Canis lupus familiaris: one gene and its partners. The protein of the gene in region 3 interacts with the protein of the main gene of each other region in a pairwise test. Links are inferred from orthologs where the notes say so. Each region holds a gene or a part of one and is shown on either strand. Other genes may lie near its edges. The genes, in order: CNKSR1, IPCEF1, CYTH4 and FOS.

Region 1 (5,281 bases), on a different chromosome or scaffold from region 3:
AGCAGGATGGCCAGCCTGAACCTCGTCCCACCGCCACCCCAACTCCCCACTCAACCAAACCCATACTCACAATCCTCAGGACTTTGCTCTCCTTCTCAGCCGCTGGAGTGTCCTGGAAGCAGAGAGGGCGTCAGCCTTCCCCGAGTCAGGGGCACTGCCTTCTCCCAAGGGCAGGGGGGGCTTCCCTATAGTCCCACTCTGTCCTGCGTGCTGGTCTCCTTCTAGAACTACACAGCCTCAGAGCTTTGGCTCCAAGGTCTCATCCCCTGACGCCAAGCCCAGAAATCACCATACATGCCCTCCCTGGCTCCACTTTTTCCTGAGAGTTAAACTTCCCAAGCCACCCCTGCCAGCTAGAAGACCCCACACCCCCATTGCCCCTACGCAGTGGCCAGGCCTCCTTTCTTCCTGTGCCTGCCTCTTCCCAACCCCCACACCCGATCCTGTGCTGATTCATAGGTTATAAAAAGCTCTAGCCTGACTTGGTCTCTATGGCCCAGGCCAAGCCCGGCCTTTGGTTCTCCTACCTCCTGCAAGGCCTGGCCCAGCTCCCCGCACAACTCCCCAATCTTCTGGCAGGCCGAGAAGTCGTTTAAGTGGGAGAAGAGGTATCTGGCAGGGGGAAGGGTGGAACAGTGATTAGGGGACTGTGATGACCAGTCAAGTCATGGAACCACTCAGAGCCAACTACCTGTCTGACACATGGGGAGAGATAATATCCGCCCTGATGGGTTTTGGTTGGGGTAAACGAGAGGACTGATAAATCTAAAGAGCTTAGCAAAGGACTTATTTGTCAAGTGCATAATACATGCCAAGCCCTGTTCTAGGCACCGGGGAGACAGACCTTAAACCTATGATTACATCAATAATGATATGATTTGATCTGCTGTGAAGTATAGGGAGCTCTGAGAACGTACAACAGGGAAGGCTTCCCAGAGAGGTGACATTTGAGCCGGGACCTATGGGATAAGCGGCAGCAGTTGAAGGGAGTAAAGAAACTCTTCATGCAGTGTTGACTGTTCTGATTACAAGCTGGGGGTGGGTGGGAAGCCAGGTGCCCTGATGCCCCCAACACAGACCAAATAATCTTCTTGCCCTGCTCCACATCGGAACAGCCAAGCTCTGTTCTTCATTCCCAGGTCCCAGAGGAGGCCAAGGACGAGGAGGGTCCCCCTCATCAGCTGGCCCAACCAGGGTCTTAGGAGGAGCCCCGGGTACCTGTTGAGCCAGAAGAGGAGGGTATGGGCCTCATGTATCAGTTTCACAGCTGCACTGAGGACATGGGCAGGGGGCTCCACACAGCCCTCCAGGTGACCTTGGACTAAGCTCTGGAAAGCATAGATCCCCTCCAGCAATCTCTCTGTCAGGCTCTGAAGGTTCTCTGTCTGTAGCCCAGAGCTCTGTGCCAGAAAAAAAGGCAGGTTATCTCCTGGCAGTAGACGGCCCCTCATCAGCAACCCCCAGATGGGTGGAAGCTGCACAAGTGTGGCCACCATTCACTCACCAGGGCCCGGAGCTGTTCCACCCCTTCCAGGATGAGCTCCTGGTGGCCCAGAGGCCACACGGTCAGAGCCTCAAGGCTTCGGGGACAGAGCTGGAGCAGGTACTTGCCAGGCAGTTCCCATTCCTCAAAGCAGTAGTCCTGTAGGGAGTCATGGAGGCCTAGAGGGAGAGCAGGGCTTTCAGGCCACTTCTTCATTCTCACAAAGCCCTCTTTCCTCCCATCTGCTCGTAACAACAATCCTGGGACCCAGGGCGTGTTCTGCCCATTTCACAGATGAGACTAGATCAGACTAATTTACTGAGCAAGTAAATTAATCACTCTATGCCTCAGCTTCCTCACCTGTGAAATGGCAACAATAAAAGCACCTACTTTCTGATCATGTGGGTATTAAATGACATGGAACACGTGAAGCACTTGGACCATTCCCTACATTCCACGGTAGACAGTAGTAGCTGCCATGGTATCATCACCAGACTCTACCCTGATCTACAAGGCCCTGTATGATCAGGCCCCCCCTGACTCTCCAGTCTCATCCTCTGGCACAGCCCCTCAAACTCAATACTCTAGATCCAGAGCCCTAACTCCCTGGAGCTCCTGGAATGCTCTTTTGCCTCAGGGTCCTCACATGCACTATTTCTTCTGCCTGGATTCTTCTAGCTCCTTCACCCTCCCTTTCAATCTAACTCCCTCCAGGAAGCTTTCCATAACTCCCCGGGGTGGGTTGGGATCTCTCCAGCTCCCACTGCCCCTCATGCTCTAGGCCATCCAAAACTGTTCCTCCTTAACTCTAGCCCATGCCTGGCACAAGGTAGACGAGGCAGACCGAAGACAGGAAAAATTCCATTGAAAGCTTATGTGCTAGGCAAGATTTTAAGGGTTTTCTATGTATTAACACATTTGGTGCTCACTGAATGTAGGAGGTAACGACTATTATTATCCTCATTTTATAGGTGGGAAAATGGATACAAATAGAGATGAAGTAGCTTGCTCACTCTTTGAAGGAGTTCCTTCCATCCCAAGTGAGGCTCCATCATTAGGGAATGTGAGCGGTCATTAATAGCTCTTCCTCGTTCCCCGTGTGACATTAAGAACACTGGACTGGGAGTTGGTGGACCTGCTACTCCAGGGCTCCAGCCCTCAGGCAGCTCCTCTGCCGAGTACGGTGACCTTGCTGCGCCGCCTTCCTCCCAAGTCTACCTTGAGCCACGCAGGCTAGGCACCTGCTGCGATGGTCTCATTTTGTCTACTCCATGAGATGGCTGTTGACTTTCTAATCTTACGGACAGAGAAACCGAGACCTCTGGTCGCAGAGCTGGTAAGTGGAGCGGTGGGGCCTGGAACTCAGCCTGGGAGTCTGACTCCAGCCCTGAAGCCCTGCTTTTCCAGGGCTGCTCGGCCTGAGCCTGCCAGCAGGGAGCTCCACTCCCCTCCCCGCTCGGGCTCCCCGGGAGGGCTGTCAGGACTCCCCTCCCCTCTCCAGCTGCAGTCTGGGCCCTTTCCCCGCCTTCGGGGCTCAGTGACTCTGGCCACCACGTCCTCTCCCCCGGGGCCCCAGGATGCGGCTGTGCCAACCCCTTCGGTCTGACTGGGCCTTCTGTTTCTCTCAAAGTGGAGAGAAGGGAAAAGACAGGAGGACGGGCCCTGTTGCCCAGCCCTAGCAAATCACTTCCTGGCTCAGTGCGTCAGTTTCCGCTTCTGATAAATGGGTTTAATACCAGCCCACCGAGCCCTGGGGCGGAGGGAAGATGAAGGCGCTTGGGCGGCCGTGGGCGCCGGCCCGTCCCTCTGTTTTCATCCCGCAGGCGCCGCCTCCCCGCCCGCACCCCCGCGGCCCCTGGCGCGGCGCTGGGGGACCCCTGCTGAGCTCCCGGCCCCCGGGGCGTCTCGTCGATCCCTCCGCCTGGCCAGGCGCCCCGAACTACTTGTTGACCAAGCCGCTGACAGACCTGGCACGTCCCTTTTCCGTTTCGTCTGCTCGTGCCAGCGCCCCTCCAGCCCGACTCTGCCCAGGCCCACCTCTCAGCCAAGCCGCCACCTTCCCGGGGCTCCAGGTCGCTACTGGCTCCATGGCCCGGACCGCCCGCCCGCAGCCGCTCCCGCCGGGCCCGCCCGCGCAGGAATTTCCGCTCCCGGAGTCCGGCCTGGGGAGGGCCCCGGGCCGGGCCCCGGGCGGAGCCAGCAGCACACCTGGGCGCACGGGCACGGCCAGGTGAGGCGCTGCCGCTGCCATTGGCCCGCCGCCGCCCCGCCTCCCGCCCCCGCGGGCTGCCCGGCCGCCTGACCCGGGGCGGTGCCGCCGCTCTGCGACCCTGGCGACTTTGGAGCGGGCCGGGATCCCGCCCCAAACTGCACTTTGACCTCAAAAGAGGCTCCTCAAAACAAAACAAGTCAGAGCACAGAAGGAGCCAGAACCCTGGCAGCGAAAACCAGCTTTGCAGCTTGTTAGCTCCAAAACCCTACCCACCGTGCATGGTTCTCCGCAAAATGGGCTGCTGTGCCGAGTACCTGTCTTAATAGCGCCAAAACTTTTTGGAACAGGGGTTTCTAGTCCCCCTCTGTTTTGGGCACACACACAGACCCTTCTGGCAGTCTGGTGAAACCGATGGACCCTTTCTCAGAATTGGGCTTTTGGAAGCATTAAAGAAATGCTGAAGATTACAAGGAAGAGAATCATAACCAAAACATATTTAAAACACGGATTTATGATTGGGGAGCCTGGCGGGCTCAGTCAGTAGAGTGTGCAACTCTTGCTCTTGGGGTTGTGAGTTTGAGTCCCACGTTGGGTGTAGAGAAAAAATAACGTCTTAAAAAAAACCCATACATTGATGATACAGTAATGTGTTTATCAGCATCAGATAACAAGACTGTTGGGTACCTGGGTGCTCAGTGGTTGATCATCTGTCTTTGGCTCAGGTGATCCCGGGGTCCTGGGATACAGTCACACATCTGGCTCCCAGCAGGGAGCCTGCTTCTCCCTTTACCTATGTCTCTGCCTCTCTCTGTGTGTCTCTCATCAATAAATAAAATCTTGGGATCCCTGGGTGGCTCAGCGGTTCAGCGCCTGCCTTTGGCCCAGGGCGTGATCCTGGAGTCCCGGGATCGAATCCTGTGTCAGGCTCCCTGAATGGAGCCTGTTTCTCCCTCTGCCTGTGTCTCTGCCTCTCTATCATGAATAAATAAAATCTCAAAAAAAAAAAAAAAAAAAAGTAACAAGGGGATGCCTGGATGGCTCAGCAGTTGAGCTCTGCTTTTGTCTCAGGGCATGATCCTGAAGTTCAGAGATTGGGTCCCACATAGGGCTCTCTCAGGAGAGCCTGCTTCTCCCTCTGCCTGTGTCTCTGCTTCTCTCTCTGTGTGTGTCTCATGAATAAAACCTTTAAAAAATATAACAAGACTGTTAAGTTAAATTGTCCTTTTTAATGTTATCAGCATGGTGTTAAACTTGAAGAACACTAAACTGTGGTGTGATCTTTTATTCATCTTCTCTCACATTATCAGTTAACAAGTAAACATAGGGAATGCAGGAGCATAATGGAGAAGCCTGGGTCACCAGTGTGAGAACAGGGAGATTCACCATTTGGTCACTGACCCTCTACTAGACCTAGAGGTGCCCAATCCATGGCAGCTACATAGCAGGAGTGTCTGAAATGGGTTTATAACTATCATGATTTTGAAATAATTATGAGCATATACAATGTTGAGATATTTGAATAACTATAATTTGGTATAAAAATATCTGTGATTTTAATAGGTGACAAAGCCAGATACTGTTCATAC
Region 2 (5,198 bases), on a different chromosome or scaffold from region 3:
TTCACTTGTTTACTACTGTTTCCCCAATCTTTGTACACAGGATGATTCAATAGACATTTGTAGAGTAACCAAATTAAAAATACAAACTAGTAGGGCAGCCCCTGTGGCGCAGCGGTTTAGCGCCGCCTGCAGCCCAGGGCGTGATCTGGAGACCCTGGATCTAGTCCCACGTCAGGCTCTCTGCATGGAGCCTGCTTGTGTCTCTGCCTCTCTCTCCCTGAATCTCTTTCTTTATTTATGAATGAATAAATAAAATCTAAAAAAAAAAAAAAAAAAAAAAAAAAAAAAAAAAAAAACTAGTAAAAACACTAAACTATAGAGGAGTTTCCATAAACAAATCCTATGAATTCCAAAGTGTTTTGCTTAGGGGAATGGTGCTGTCAGGAATATCCCTCTAGAATTCACCTTCCCAATCTGCAGGATATGGAGACTGTTGATGTCAGATTTCTCTGAATCAAAGAAAAATGGGTAGAAACACAATCAGTGGTACAGCTGGGGAAGAATAAAGCAGAGGGTGGGGCATACCTAGGCACAGAGCCATTGTAGAGGCTATGTGTCAGTGTTTACTTAATAATTTTAGAGTTTCAGTACATTATTTCTTGAAGTAGTAAACATACATGAAATCAAAAGTTTCACCAAGAAGCTTCAAAGATAATTTGAGGCAGAATCATCAAAACAATTTAAACTCAAATGTTGCTTCTCCTCTTCCATAAAAAGCACAGACCCATAATCCAAAAGAATTAGGAAATGAAATGGTGGTCATGGATACTAATATAAATATGTTTGCTTATTGTTTAGACAAGGAGAACCAGCTCAGCTAACCATGGTACAGCATACTTGTTATCTATATATTGACAAGCTAAATATGTAGCACCAAGATTTTGATAAAAATATTTATAAAGCACACAATAAAAGCAGTTCATAAAAAAAATGATGCTGACAAAGGTGTTTTGAAAGTAATAATTTTGCCTTGTTCCCAACACTTCCTGAGTGTATCAGTTTAAGCAAGCTGCTCATAAGTAAAAAGAGTTCAAGGAAGAAGGAATAGTTATTTGATATCTCTTGATAAAGGATTTTTTTTATGGAGGATTTTTGTATAATACCCAGGAATTAAAAGTGTATAAGAACCTAATGATAAGGCAACAAATACCTTTCATGAGTCAAGAAGTTTCTAATTCTTTGCTTTCAACAAGATTTTTAAAAATTTATTTTAATTGTTATTTATTAAAAGTAGTTGCTGTGATAGATCACATGAGGTATTTGACATATAGTTGGAAGGGGTTCAAGAGTGCTTCATTCCCAACTATTTATTTATGTGTAAAACAGGTCTAAGGTCACATACATAAAAACCAAGAAAAGGATCAAAATTGGTGCTGAACTCTCTCTCATTCTAGCAATAAATAATATTCACCTATAAGCAATTCTATAATTAGGGGGAAAGCCTCATATATTTTATTAAATGATGCATTCTCAATAAAAATATGTACCTCTTGTATTAATCATTATTTTGTCAAAATATCATATTCATGTTATTTGTTAAATTATGTACTAATAATTATAGTGATAACCCACTCCAAATGAAATCTTATATGGCTTAAAGAATTTGTCATGCACAAAAATTAAATCAATTTCAGTTTAAATATGTATTTTTTGCTGAAATGTATAAAACCATCAATGAAAGATTTTAAAACATATATATAATTGCATAAAAATCCATGGAATAGTAGAATAAAAATATGAGTTCCCGGAGGGTGGAATGGGGTGGAGAAGAAAACAGCAATGTAAAATTAAAACTCCAAAGATGACTTTTTAAAAAATATATATGTGAGACATATCAGATCTCTGCTATTTATATCACACAGGTTATAGTTCTTTTAATATATATCAAAAGAAATATACATATTTTTAAATATAACCTTTTATAACAAGATTTATCATGTGCCAGAAATGACATCTTTTGCAACTATTGAAACATATAATAAAAACTAGGTGACAATGTAAGGTGTCAAGGAGTATATAGGGCTTCCAAATTACTTTCTGGGTACACAACCAAAATAACATGTTTCAAAACTACAACACACATAAGCATTAGGGTCAAACATTTCACCTTGCCACTCATTAAATGTGGAAACTTCTTAGAATCACTTAGTTTGCCTAAATAGACACCTCATATGTTAAACAGAAATAATAACAATAAGCTCAGAGATTTTGTGAGAATTAAATGAAATATCACATGAGAAACTTGCAGGACCCTATGCATACTCACCAAGTGGTAGCAATTATCTTGAATGGGAGTAATTACCTGGAAATGGCTTTGTTATAGAAAACAATTCTTCCTGATGGAATTAGCACACAACTAAAGGATGTGAGCAAGTATGATAACAGGTTTCATCAAATAAAATAGCTTTTACTCTTCAAGGTTGATTAAACTCCCTATCCTACTCTCCTAGAGACATTTTGGGTGCCTTGTTTCAGAGTTTAAGGGTTTCGGGGAATAGTTTTCTCAGTCCCATTTGAGACTATTAACTTCTTTAAAAAACAACTCCTTAACACAACACCATATGAGACTCAGCCAAAACAATGAGGTCATAAATACTTTAAGTTTGTGAAATGAAATAAAATGTATTCCTGATAAGCTCTGTAACTAAAAAGTGGAAAACACATTTCATTACCAAATGAATAATAAAGCTAATTTCAAGGAAGAAAAATTCCTTAATATATACTGATTGTTATGGATTGACTATGTGTGTTCTCCACTCCCCCTCCCAAAATTCGTAGGTTTTGATTTAATCCCCATGTAATGTGTTTGGAGGTGAGGCCTTTGGATGCTGATTAGGTCATGACAGTGGAGTTCTCATAAATGGGATTAAGGCCATTAAAGAGGCCAGAGAGCTAGCTCCCTCTCTTTCTACCACACCAAGAGACAAGAAGAATTGGCAATCTGCAAGTCAGAAGAGAGCTCTTACCAGAACCCGACCGTGATGGCACCATGATCTTGAACTCCCAGCCTCCAGAACAATGACAAATCAATTTGTGTTGTGGACAAGGCACCCAGTTATGGTATTTTGGCATAGAAGCCCAAGCTGATGAAGAATCATTTTTCTTCACTAGATGCTGGTGAAGAATCATTCTATTTTGTTTCAGGCACAAACAAAATATAAGTTTATTCTAGCAATATATTTCAAGAACTGTTTAGCAAATTAGTTAAGTTAGAAATAGGGATTCTGGTCTTATATCATTTTAAAACTGAAGAATAAACCAAGAATATCAACATGCAACCAACGCTCTATTGATAAAGAAGGCAGTTACTAGTATAATTGGTACTTTTTGTTAAAGAACGAAGAAAGAAATTCCTAAAGGCAGTTATTGGTTCAGCTGATCCAAAAGTAACTTGCCTCCCCTCTAGACCTTATAATCTTTGGAATAATACAGCAAAATAAGCACCATGGCCAGTTTTAAAGGTTTTTGAAAAGGAAATGATTCAGATGAGTACCGGGTGTTGTATGGAAGTGCTGAATCACTATACTATACACCTGAGACTAATATTACATTGTATGTTAACTACCTGAAATTTAAATAAAAACTTATTTTAGGGATCCCTGGGTGGCGCAGCAGTTTGGCGCCTGCCTTTGGCCCAGGGCGCCATCCTGGAGACCCGGGATCGAATCCCACATCGGGCTCCTGGTGCATGGAGCCTGCTTCTCCCTCTGCCTATGTCTCTGCCTCTCCCTCTCTCTCTCTCTCTCACTGTGTGCTTACCATAAATAAAATAAAAATTTAAAAAAACTTTTTTTTTAAAAAAAGACAATTTATTGTGCTTAAAAGATAGCTCAGGTAGAATAAACTATGGCCTAGGTTTGTTCTTTTTTCACAGAGCAAGACAATGCTGAACTAAAATTTTAAAAACCAACATATTAATTCATAATGTGCTCATCCTTTAAAATTACAAGCCTGGTATATGACAAAACATTCTCAGAGCAGCAAAGAAACTTATAGAAAGTCCATGAACATGGGCAAACAATGTGCATTATTCTTAATCCAAGAACTAGAGCTAAAGAGGAAATAGAAAATGCTGGTCACTCTAGAGGCAGAAGTCTCAGACACAGAAAGTATGTAATATGTGTGGCAATAAACTGTACACTTAACCAGCAATGAGAGCCGTAAGCAAGCATCTTCTGTTAAATGGTAGTCTGTGATAGCAGCACCATAGGAATCAAGAAAGGAAATCCATCTTTGTTCTTATATAAAAGCAAAGGACATGGAAAAAATCCATTAGTTTTGCAAGTTAGCAGGAGATCTCTTGTTAAGATAGAGCAGGAGAGAAGGAAACAAAATATAAGAGCCCCCTATGAGTACAAACACAGTGATGTATGGCATGGGGATGGTCTGGAGTTATTACTTGATCCAAGAAGTTGAAATTCATGAAAGGAAAAATGCCTTTATCCAAATTATTTCAAACATTTTTTCTTTTCTTTTCTCTTCTTTTTTTTTCTTTTTAAGATTTATCTATTCTAGGGTGGGGGAGCAGAAGGAGAGGAAGAAAGGAACTCAAGCAGACTCCACGCTCAGTGTGGAGCCCAACCTGGGGCTCAATCTCATGACCCTGAGATCACAACTAAGCTGAAACCAAGTCCCATGCTTAACGGACACCATGCAGGCATCTGCATTTTTCTGTTAAATTTAAGCTCTATTATCATCTGGATTCTGATCTATTTCCTGCATGCTTTAGAAAATCTTATTCTTTCTTTCCTTCCATTTATTTTCTCCTTTTTACTGTTAACTTTTCCACTCATTTTGCTACATTTCTGCTCTCTCTCCACTTTGAGAATGAACTGACAGATGGTTTTCAGAGCCACAGCTTTTTTTAAAACAGAAACTATGATGATTAAAATTACTTTATTTTCAACACCACTAAAATACTGTGATACATCATCTGAAGAGATTGGCAGACCTCTCCCTCACTTGTCCTTCTTGCATTCCCACAGAAGCTGTCAGTCCTGACAATCAAGACTTAGACAGAAAAATCTACAAATCTAAGCAAGGAAAGCTCCTCTTTCAGCCAATCATGTCAATCTCTGCTCCCAACAGACCATTTTACCATAGTAACAAGGAGGTGGCAAACCGCAAGACATCTTGAACAATCTGCCTCTTTTACCTCCTGGAAGAACCTGCACCAAATACAAGTGGCTGTTGACCAT
Region 3 (5,103 bases):
GGAAGGTGGTGGAGCTGGGAGTCACCCCCAGGCCCAGCTAGGACTCCGAGGCCACACCCGTGATGCTGATGATGGTCTGATGCCAGATATTTTCATGCAAATCATTGAAACCCCATCAGACACTAGCCCTGGTTGTCCTGACATGGAAATGCTGACCGTGGCTCCCTGTTTGAGAATGAAGGCCGGATGTGGAATGATGCCTGCGGTTTGTTCCTCTTTCCCTTTCTGGGGGGTGAGAGAGAAAACAAAGCCAACTTCCTAGAGCTGGGGGGACAGAGGCACAGGTACAGGCCCACGTGTCCTCAGGACGGCAGGATGGCGGGGCAGGGAGGAGGGGCTGTTGGCATTCCGTCTCCATAGGGCTTCTTCTGTGGCTTGACGGATGTGTCCATGAATCCTCCCAGGGCCCTGTTACCTTGACAGGATTCTGACCCCAACAGGTGGCCCCGGCGCTGTTGCAACTGTCCTGTGGAGCGTGGGGCCTTCGGACCCTTCACCTGTCTCAAAGCTGGGGTTCCTCCGCATTTCAGCGCAGAGGGTCCAGATGGTTCGGGGAGGGTGCCAAGGACACAGAGTGAGTGGAGGGTGACAGGGACGTAGAGTGAGAGGGCCATTTCTGATTCCCAGCCAGGCGATGCTGGTGTTTTAAGCCCTGGAGCAGCTTAGGGGAGGTGTTTTGTTTTTTTTTTTCTATTTGTTTTTATTGAAGTTTGATTTGCCAAATATAGTATAACATCCAGTGCTCATCCCATCAAGTGCCCTCCTTAGTGCCTCTCACCCAGTCTCCCCAATGCTCTGCATCACTTGCCATCGGGGAAATACAAATCAAAACCACAATGAGATACCACCCCAAACCAGTGAGAACGGGTTTTGATGACAATAGTGATAAAACACAAACAATAATAACATGAGAAGGACAATAGCCACCACCATGAACTCTCTTGACTCCTCAGCTTGACTCTAATTTTCAGGCCTCACAAGGGCCAGTTTTGGACAACTGAGCCCACGCCTGCTGCAGGCTGTGGTTGCCCTCTGCACCCGTGCCCAGGCTGCGGGGAGTGCCCGGGGGCCCACCCCGACCACCTCCCCAACTCCTCCCTGCTTCCCCTTTGTCCTTCCTCTTTCCCATCATATTTTTAGAAATCATTCTGCTTGCAGCCTGGCTTCCAGGACAGCTGGCCTTGCTTCCGCTTTCCAGGGCGAGAGGAGGGTGCTCTCCTGGGGCCCCCCCCAGGGGGCAGAGGCGCCTCAGAGTCTCCGCGTGAGGGGCACCCAGGCAGGAGGGGGTGTCTGGCGGAGCGGCTCCGCCCCAGCCCCTGAGGCTCTGTGGGTGTCCGTGTGGCTTCCTCCCCACCCCCAGAGCCAAGCTGTCTCTATTTTTAACTGCACCCTAGCCTCGCTGCACCAACCCCAAGTTGTTGTCTTTGGTCACGTAGGGGCTTTGCTGCCTGGACCTCTCAGCTTCCCAGCAGGCCCTGGGGGAGGGGGCTTGATCTGCTTCTCTGCAGGACAAGCTGGAGGAGGCCAGGTTGTCCTGGGGGAGCCCGGCCCCATCCTATCTACGGCAGAGGTGAGGAAGCAGAGCCCACAGAGGATAAAAGGCCCATCATGACCACTGGTGGGTTGGTGCAGAGCTGGGCCCCCAGCCAGGTGGGGTGAGTCCCACCCCCCACTCATTCCCCACTTTCCCAGCTCAGGCTGGGGGTGGAGGGGCCCTTATGGATGATGAATCTGAGCTCAGAGAGGGAAGTCACCTGGCTGGGGAGGAGCTTTGATTAAGACCCACTCTGGACAATGGGGGATGACCTTCCTTCCCTCCCTCTGACTCCTCCAGGAAGTTTTCCCAGCTTGTCCCCCCCCCAGGTGGAAGAAGTCGCTTCCTCATCTGCCCTGGGTCATTGTCTGCAGGATCTGTCTCCCCATCCCCCCGCATCCTGGACCAGCAGCTCCCCCAACAGCTGGGTCCCCACTGTCCCAGCACCGCTCAGCCAGCACAGGACCTGCACACCGGAGGACTGTTTGCAGCATGAGTGAATGAATGAATGAATGACCCAATCCATGGAGATCTCAAATCTCCCAGCAGACCACCTGCATTGACCTTCCTCAACCCACTCCCACCCAGGGCCAGCCTAAAGCTAAGCGGCGGCCCACCTTCTTGGTGTCCCGGCGCCTCCCACAGCCCGGGCTGACCCCTGCTCTCTTTCCTCTCAGGTTCACGTCCCTGGCCACTAACAGGCGAGTCAGCCCTCTCGTCCACTTCACCTCTTTATGGAGACGACCCTCCCTGTTCTGAAGGACCTCGGGCTGTGAGAGCAAAGTAATAGCGGTGGGAAGACAGGCAGTGTGGGCTCCGTGACTTCAGCGTCTCCTATCACCTCCCATCTGGCGAGTGACCTGGAGCCAGGTGCTACTCCTCACTGGGTCCCCTCTTGCCTTCTGGTCGCCACCTATGACATATCACGGAGCCCGTCCAGTCTGTGAGCCACCTGCCACCAAAAGCCCAAACGGGGTTGAAGGGATGGGTGGTTCTGTGTGTTCCCCAGAGCCCGCGGAGCCAGGGAGGCTGGGGGGCGGGGTCACACGGCTCTGCCTTCGGTTTTGTTGGAAGAAAGGGTTCTCTTGCTAACCGGGGTCGATGTCATCTGAAGCTTGGGGACTGGACAGCTCCCGGCAGCCTCGTCTCCTGGATCTCCAGGCAATGCTGGGATATTCTGGTTGCAGGGCACAGAGGCTTTGTCCCTCTTCTCCCTGCCTTGCAGAAACGCAGCAGGATCCTGTTGTCTCCCCTACCAGCTGCGTAGACACCTCTCCTCTTTCCCCCGGACATGCTTCTGTTCACTGGGGAGGGTCTCCGCTGCTCCTCCCTGGCCTCCACCAGCGCTCTAGGCTTGCCCTCGGCCTCCCCATCCTCAAAGGCCAGACAGGAGCTTGAGGACCCTTGTGCCACCCAGACAGCCATTGTCACCAACATTATCATCCTCAGCTCTTGCACTGCTGTCCCTTCCCCCTGGAATATTCCTTCCCCAGAAACCCATATAGATCACTCCCTCCCCCCTCCAGGTCTCTGCCCAAATGGTGCCTCCTTCTGAGGCCTTCTCCAGCACCTCTCCATCATCCTTACCCTCCTTGACTGTTCTTCCTCCTGCTTGTCACCTCCTGACATATTACATTAATACCTTTCCTGACAGTCTCCCCCGCTAGAGCGTGAGCTCATGGGAGCAGGGACAGGGCCTGCTTTGTTCACTGCACTCCCAGCCCCTGGAGCACAGCTTGGCCCCCAGCCTGAGCTCATAAACATTCATTGCATGCTTCTGCCTTTCCCACCTTATATCTATTTACATATTGATTCCTCCCAGGGTCCTGCAAAGCAAGCACAATTGTCCCCATCTTACAGAAGAGGAAACTGAGGCCCAGAGAGGTTGGCCCCAGGTGCTTACCTGGGTGGCACAAGTCCATTCTGAGGCCCTGAGGAAGGGTGGCCTGTGCTCCTGTCGCCCGCTGAGCCAGCTGCTGCTCGAGCTGGCCAGGCAGAGAGGTGTCACCTCAGCTACATCAGGCCCCTTCCGGGTCGCCCCGCCCAGCCCCGTGTGGGGAGGAAGTCCTGTCTGCTAGGATCTGGTGTGTAGGCTCTTGACAAAGCAGCACTTCCTAAAACTGGCAGAATTTCGTGTAGCAGGGACTCTGCATTTTTGGGTGCGGGCTAGGGAGATTTAGAGACAACGGAGACAAACAAAGGGAGGGATTGGGGGGATAAAAAGAGAAAGTGAGACAGAGTGGCACACCACGGGCGCGCATGCGCACACACGCGTGCAGAGAATGATGGCTGCTGGGGGACACAGCCTTCTCCAGGGAACGTCGGGCATTTACTTACCAACGTCCCCAGATGTCAGCTGAAGGGTCACCCTTGGACAACGGGGCCCCAAAGATTCTGCCCTACAAGCTCTCTTCCATCTCCTCAGCCTTGGGAAAAAGAAAATGGATTCAGTGCTAGGAAAGGCTTTGCTTCCCTTTGATGACATGCCTGGCTCTTTCCTGTCTAGTGACCAATTGGCAGTATGTTTAGTTTCTCTTTTCCCCCAGGCTGCTAGGAAACTCATAGTCAAATCCGAAGCTCCTTTACAACTGTTCCACTGTAACACATGAACTTTGGGGCCAGACTCAGCTGTGTGGCTCTCAGCTCTGCCACTTGGGTCCTGTGAGAACTCCAGCAAGGTCACTTATCTGCAGCCAGCCTCAGTTTGCTTACCTATAAAAGGGGAATAAGAGGGGTGCCTGGGGGCTCAGTCAGTTAAGCAGCTGCCTTTGGCTCAGGTCATGATCCCAGAGTCCTGGAGATGGAGCCCTGCATTGGGCTTCCTGCTCAGTGGGGAGCCTACTAACCTCTCTGGCTCCCCCCCCTCGCCCCCACCTCTTGTGCTCTCTCTGTCTCTAATAAATAAATAAAAAAAAATTTTAAAGGGAGAATAATAATCCTCACCTCAGGGTTATAGAAAAGGGGGTGGAAAGAATGTGCTTAAGATGCTTGGGACATAGTGGGTGCTTAATGAACACTATCTTCTTTTCCTTTTGGTTTTAGTTTTCTTTCTGGTTAAAATTCCCAATTTAATGCTTGTGCCTTTTCCAGCAGGTTGATCCAATTTCTTTGTGGAAAAAAGTGTTGTGTAAAGAAATATCTATTTAAAAAATGCTCACTCTGTGTAACTGTGTGTCACACATGGATTTATTCGTCTGTTTCCCTACCAGTCTGGAGGCCCCATGAGGACAAGTTCACCTCCATGTCTTCATGTCTGGTAAAAGCAATGAATGAATAAGTGAATGAATAAAAGGAACATAGGAGAAGTAGTATGGTTGATGCCAAAGTTGGCTACACTTTCCACCCTTCCCTGTGTGCACACACCTTTGCATGGTTACGCTGCCCCTCCTCCCCTCAAGAGGTGGAGTCTATTTCTCTTCCCATTGAATCTGGACTGGGCTGTGTCTGTCTCTGGCCACCTGCCTGCCCAGCTGCTGTGAGAACCAGCCTGGGCTAGCCTGCTGGAGGGTGGGAGGCCACACAGAGAAAAGCCCAGCTATCCTGACTGCGTCCTGTTGCAGCCTCATGAG
Region 4 (5,153 bases), on a different chromosome or scaffold from region 3:
CCCCCTCCAGGAGCTACCCTTCTGGACGAACTGGTCTCCAATCCCTTTCAGAATCTTACAAAACTTCCCGAATGAAGAGCACAAGGTTGGTCGCATTCAACTTAAATGCTTTTATTGACAATGTCTTTGAACAATAAGCAAACAATGCTTAAATTTTTCATTCAAATTCACTTTCCACATGTCAAAAGACCTCAAGGTAGAAAAAAATAAAATAAAAATATAAATATCTGAGAATCCATCTTAATAAATAAATTAAAAACACAATAAAACGTTTTCATGGAAAACTGTTAATGTCAGAACATTCAGACCACCTCAACAATGCATGATCAGTAACGTTACAATGAACATTGATGTTGAAGAAAAAACTACAGTACATGGATAGAGCTATTTATTTCTATCTACTAGAAAATAAAGTCATATCTTTTCTTAGTTTAATATTGGTCATTGCTAATCAGAACACACTATTGCCGGGAACACAGTAGTTATTGTTAAAATCAGCTGCACTAGATACAATTCGAAAATATCCAGCACCAGGTTAATTCCAATAATGAACCCAATAGATTAGTTAATGCTATGAGAAGACTAAAGAGAAAGAGATAAGAGACACAGACCCAGGCCTGGCTCAACATGCTACTAACTACCAGCTCTCAGATGTGTCACTGGGAACAATACACACTCCATGCGTTTTGCTACATCTCCGGAAGAGGTAAGGACTTGAGGCCGCGCGTGGATGCTTTCAAGTCCTTGAGGCCCACCGCCTGGTGTGTTTCGCGCACAGATAAGGTCCTCCCTAGGTCTACGGGAACCCTCGAGGGAAGACGTGTTTCTCCTCTCTGTAATGCACCAACTTGGGCAGTAGCACCCTAGGGTGCCTGCCGCCTCCCCTCCCTGCCTGCTCACAGGGCCAGCAGCGTGGGTGAGCTGAGCGAGTCAGAGGAGGGTTCGTTGCTGCTGCTGCCCTTGCGATGAGCGGCCGCACAGCTGGGGAAGGAGTCAGCCTCAGGGTAGGTGAAGACGAAGGAAGACGTATAGGTAGTGCAGCTAGGAGTACAGGTGACTACGGGGGTGCACAGAGGCTCGGGCTCTGTGGCCATGGGCCCCATCCCCAGGGAGCCACCATGCAGGGGCTCCCAGTCTGCTGCATAGAAGGAACCAGACAGGTCCATGTCTGGCACGGAGCGGGCGGTCTCCGAGCCGCTGGGCCTGGATGATGCTGGAAACAGGAAGTCATCAAAGGGCTCGGCCTTCAGCTCCATGCTGCCGATGCTCTTGACGGGCTCCACGGAGGGCTTGGGCTCAGGATCATTGAGGAGGGGCAGGGTGAAAGCCTCCTCGGACTCCGGGGTGGCAGCTTCGGGCAGGCCCCCGCTCAGATCTAGGGAAGCCACGGACATCTCTTCGGGGAAGCCCAGGTCATCAGGGATCTTGCAGGCAGGTCGGTGAGCTGCCAGGATGAACTCTAGTTTCTCCTTCTCCTTCAGCAGGTTGGCAATCTCGGTCTGCAGAGCAGACTTCTCGTCTTCTAGTTGGTCTGTCTCCTGTATCCAGAGGGACAGAGCAAAGCATAAGACGCGGGCCTACTCAAGGGCCCTGCTCCCGGATACCCAGTCTCCAACTTTCCCCCTAAGTTTGAAAAAGGAGTGACCCACAGGGTCTACCTACCGCTTGGAGCGTGTCAGTCAGCTCCCTCCTGCGGTTCCGGCACTTGGCTGCAGCCATCTTATTCCTTTCCCTTCGGATTCTCCTTTTCTCTTCTTCTTCTGGGGACAGCTAGAAAAACAATTTCCAAAAGGCCAACAGTCAGTAACAAGGTCTGCCATCAGCTGGGTTCAGCCACCCCGGGGTGAAACTGGTCCCTGCAGCTTCCCAGCTTCCTGGCACCCCTGCGAGGAAGCCATTTCTAACCTGCACTTGCGGGCTGGGTGTGACTTGCATTTAAAATAAGATCCTTAGCAAGAGAACAAAGAAGAGCCCGGTCTAAAAGCTGGAGAAGGAGCCTATGAGGGAAGAAATACTACCAGAGTATTTCTTGGGGTAGGACTATCAGAGTCCGGCGTGGGACGGAAATGGCTTGGAGCCAGGGTTCCTCGTGGAGGACAGATAGGTGGTGACTCCATCAGTGGCTTCGCCCTGCCCACGGTGCTCCCCAGCTCCACCAATGCCAACCCACGCCCCCTACTGAGAGAAGGTGCTGGAAGAACCGCTCACCTGTTCCACCTTGCCCCTCCGGCCAATGCTCTGAGCTCTGCCTCCCGTCATGGTCTTCACAACGCCAGCCCTGGAGTAAGCCCCAGCCGAGGGGGTGGGGACTCCATACGGGTGGGGGGCTCTGGTCTGGGACGGGGCCACGGAGGAGACCAGGGTGGGCTGCACCAGCCACTGCAGGTCCGGGCTGGTGGAGATGGCAGTCACCGTCGGGATGAAGTTGGCACTGGAGACGGCCAGATCGGTGCAGAAGTCCTAGAACGGAACAGAGGGGGCAAAGCTGACGTGAGGGAGCAGGTTCCGGACACAGGTGCGGCGGGCCGGGCGTCCAGTGCCGCATGCAGCGGCGGAGAGCGGAGGAGAAGCACGCCCCGGACTGCTCGGGGCTTCTGATGTGCCCCTCGTCCTGGAGGCAGGGGGCTCTCCGTGTCCTCCCAGGAAGCCCGCGACGCAGCGCGTTTCTCCTCCACCCTGCTGCTGCGTCCCCGTTACCCCTCCGGCATCACTCGCCTGAAAGGGGGTTTGTTATAAATATCCCTGACGTCTGCGCTGACGCAGGCGCCGCTCCGGAGTCTCCTGAATGAACTCGCTTTTTATCAATGAAACTGCCTTACACACCCGCCGGCTTCACCCTCCTCCCCCGCCCCTCCTCCCGGCTCCGGGCTGCGCGGGGAGGGGTGGGGGCGGGGGGATTGCCGCTTCCCGTCGCCTCCCGGAGGAGCCAGGCGCTAGTTCGCGAGTCTCGGCCTGGGACACGCTGCGCCCCGGGTAATGCCAGGGAGCGCGGCCCGAGGGCGGCCCCAGCCGGGCCTGCCGCGGGAGAGGGGGGCCGATCCTCGCTAGGACAGCGCGCGTGCGCCCCACCGAGTCCGGGGGTCCCGCGGTAGGGCAGCTTCCCCCCCGACTCGCCTTCCCGAGCGTCCCGCCCCGGAGTCTCCGCCCTGGGGTCGGACCCTGCCCCGGGCCCCGCGGCGGCGCGAAGCCAGCCTCACCTGCGCATTGACGGGAGAGCCCATGCTGGAGAAGGAGTCGGCCGGTGAGTGGTAGTAGGAGAGGGTGTCCCCGGCCGGGGACGCGCTGCTGCAGCGGGAGGAGGACGCCTCGTAGTCGGCGTTGAAACCAGAGAACATCATGGTCGCGGTGAGTCAGGGCCGGGGCGAGGGGCTGAGGGGCGGAGACAGGCCGGAGCTGTGGGGCAGAGCTGGGTGGGAGCGCGGTCACTGCTCGCTCGCTGCGCCGCGGCCGCCGGCTCCGTCTCGGCTTCTCGGCTGCTCGCTGCAGATGCGGTTGGAGTACGAGGCGCCGCAGCACCGCATTTATAGCAGCATTCTATGAATGAGCCCCCACCCACGTCATGGGCGCAACCATCGCGGCGCCAGGGGGGTGGCCGGCCGACCTGCGCACGCCTTCGGCCTCCTTGCCGCCGCCGCCGCCCCCGCCGCCCCCCACTGCCCGTCTTAATGTGGTCCCTTATCTCCTGAGCGATCAGCAATTTGGGTCTCCGGGGTCCCGTGGAGCCCCCGAGACGAGGGACTCCGGGGACGGCTCCCCCCACGACCGCAGGGAACGGCCGTGGAAACCTGCTGACGCAGATGTCCTAATATGGACATCCTGTGTAAGGGGGGACGGATTGACGGGAACTGCTCGCCGGCTGCAGCCAACACCGAGGGTGCAGCGCGGGGGGAGGCGGGGGCCGCGGCCGGGGGAGGGGAGGCGGGAAAGGAGAAGAACGCGAGCGAACATTCGCACCTGGTTCAATGCGGACCCTTGTTCCCCGGGCGGGGTGGGGGGATGGGCCGGGAGCGCCTTTTTACCAGTATACGGCGCCCCGGAAATGTGCTGGGGCTCAGGTATGGGAGAAACAGGTACACAGCCCGAGGGCTTAAGCCTCAGCCCCAGAAGGAATGCGCCGCCTCCACCCCCGCCCCCGGCCATTCCGGATTCTACCCTGATTCAGTGCACCCCGTGAAAGCAGACCCTCAAGCCCCCAGTCCGCAGCAGTACTAGGGCTGTTACTGCATTTGGAAGCAGAAAAGTCGGGAAATCCGAAATAAGGGAATACGTACGCTAACCTACTTTATCTACGATGTTGGGTATTTTAATTTTAATTGTTTTGGTTTTTTATTTTTAGGGAAAAAAGCGCATTTTTTTTTTCTCGGCCATACTTAGGGACATTAGCGATACCGTCAAATCTGAGACGCTAGCCAGTGAATATTGGGCAGAGCCTCCATGCAAGGATATCTGATGGGTTCGTTTGCCTAGTTCTGAGCTGGGGCCCGGGGAGTGGGATGCGATTCCGGGGGTGCTATGTGGACAAGGTGGTCAGTTGAGGGTACCGGGTGGAGAGAGTTCCCCGGGGGAGCGCAAATCCGAGCTGGGAAGTTAGACGAGGCTCGGTTCCCCCAGGAAGCTGGGCTTACTGGCTGCCCACAGCGGGTGATTTTCCAGCGCAGACTTGGGGGGGGGGGGACCGGGGGCGCTGGAAGGACTGTAGCCAGCAGCTCCCAGGAGGGAGACCTCGGCCGCTGTGGGACCTCAGGCGCGGCTCTGTGGCCTGGAAAACCGGGTTGGGGCGGTCGGGGGCTCGAGCGTGCGTTGCACCCCCAGAGACCCCCCCAGCCTCCTCCTCCGCTGCAAAGGACACCTGGGGTCACATTGCCCCAGCCCGGGTTCCAGCGCGCGGCCTCCTCCGGGGCGCGAAGTCGCAGAGCCCAGCGGAGCCCCCGTGTGCCTTCCCCACTCTTCCGGGCCCCGGGCTCGCGGTGGACCCCTGGAAAGGGGCGAGGCGGGACTAGGGCCGCGGGCGGATCCCTCGGGGCGCGCGGGGAGCCGGACCGCCGACCTGCCTCCCGCCGCCGCACCCCGGAGCCAGGCGATCCTGCTATAGATAGTAACAGGGAAGCGGCTGTTTACAGCAACACTGCGCCGCCAGGGCTGTCTCCAGGCGA

What was found.
Region 1: the proteins of CYTH4 (region 3) and CNKSR1 interact in binary tests that used the Homo sapiens proteins (3 or more experiments, as listed by UniProt). The two-hybrid records come from large-scale screens. The link is inferred for Canis lupus familiaris from reciprocal best matches to the Homo sapiens genes CYTH4 and CNKSR1.
Region 2: the proteins of CYTH4 (region 3) and IPCEF1 interact in binary tests that used the Homo sapiens proteins (3 or more experiments, as listed by UniProt). The link is inferred for Canis lupus familiaris from reciprocal best matches to the Homo sapiens genes CYTH4 and IPCEF1.
Region 4: the proteins of CYTH4 (region 3) and FOS interact in a two-hybrid assay, tested with the Homo sapiens proteins (2 studies listed by BioGRID and IntAct). The two-hybrid records come from large-scale screens. The link is inferred for Canis lupus familiaris from reciprocal best matches to the Homo sapiens genes CYTH4 and FOS.

The regions. Positions count from the first base shown.
Region 1 is NC_049223.1:73,208,155-73,213,435, forward strand, and holds the start of CNKSR1 (connector enhancer of kinase suppressor of ras 1), read right to left. Parts: upstream 3,685-5,281; 5' UTR 3,573-3,684; coding exon 3,521-3,572; exon of another isoform or gene 3,307-3,520; intron 3,306-3,306; exon of another isoform or gene 2,519-3,305; coding exon of another isoform or gene 2,497-2,518; exon of another isoform or gene 2,455-2,496; intron 2,447-2,454; exon of another isoform or gene 1,663-2,446; coding exon 1,505-1,662; exon of another isoform or gene 1,401-1,504; coding exon 1,219-1,400; exon of another isoform or gene 1,140-1,218; intron 613-1,139; coding exon 528-612; intron 446-527; exon of another isoform or gene 385-445; intron 113-384; coding exon 71-112; intron 1-70. UniProt on the Homo sapiens protein: May function as an adapter protein or regulator of Ras signaling pathways.
Region 2 is NC_049222.1:44,640,391-44,645,588, forward strand, and holds the start of IPCEF1 (interactor protein for cytohesin exchange factors 1), read right to left. Parts: upstream 3,131-5,198; 5' UTR 3,130-3,130; coding exon 2,967-3,129; intron 1-2,966. UniProt on the Homo sapiens protein: Enhances the promotion of guanine-nucleotide exchange by PSCD2 on ARF6 in a concentration-dependent manner.
Region 3 is NC_049231.1:28,265,783-28,270,885, forward strand, and holds the start of CYTH4 (cytohesin-4), read right to left. Parts: upstream 3,633-5,103; 5' UTR 3,457-3,632; coding exon 3,438-3,456; intron 1-3,437. UniProt on the Homo sapiens protein: Promotes guanine-nucleotide exchange on ARF1 and ARF5. Promotes the activation of ARF factors through replacement of GDP with GTP.
Region 4 is NC_049229.1:48,647,373-48,652,525, reverse strand, and holds FOS (proto-oncogene c-Fos), read right to left. Parts: upstream 3,499-5,153; 5' UTR 3,339-3,498; coding exon 3,198-3,338; intron 2,461-3,197; coding exon 2,209-2,460; intron 1,771-2,208; coding exon 1,663-1,770; intron 1,539-1,662; coding exon 897-1,538; 3' UTR 91-896; downstream 1-90. UniProt on the Homo sapiens protein: Nuclear phosphoprotein which forms a tight but non-covalently linked complex with the JUN/AP-1 transcription factor. In the heterodimer, FOS and JUN/AP-1 basic regions each seems to interact with symmetrical DNA half sites.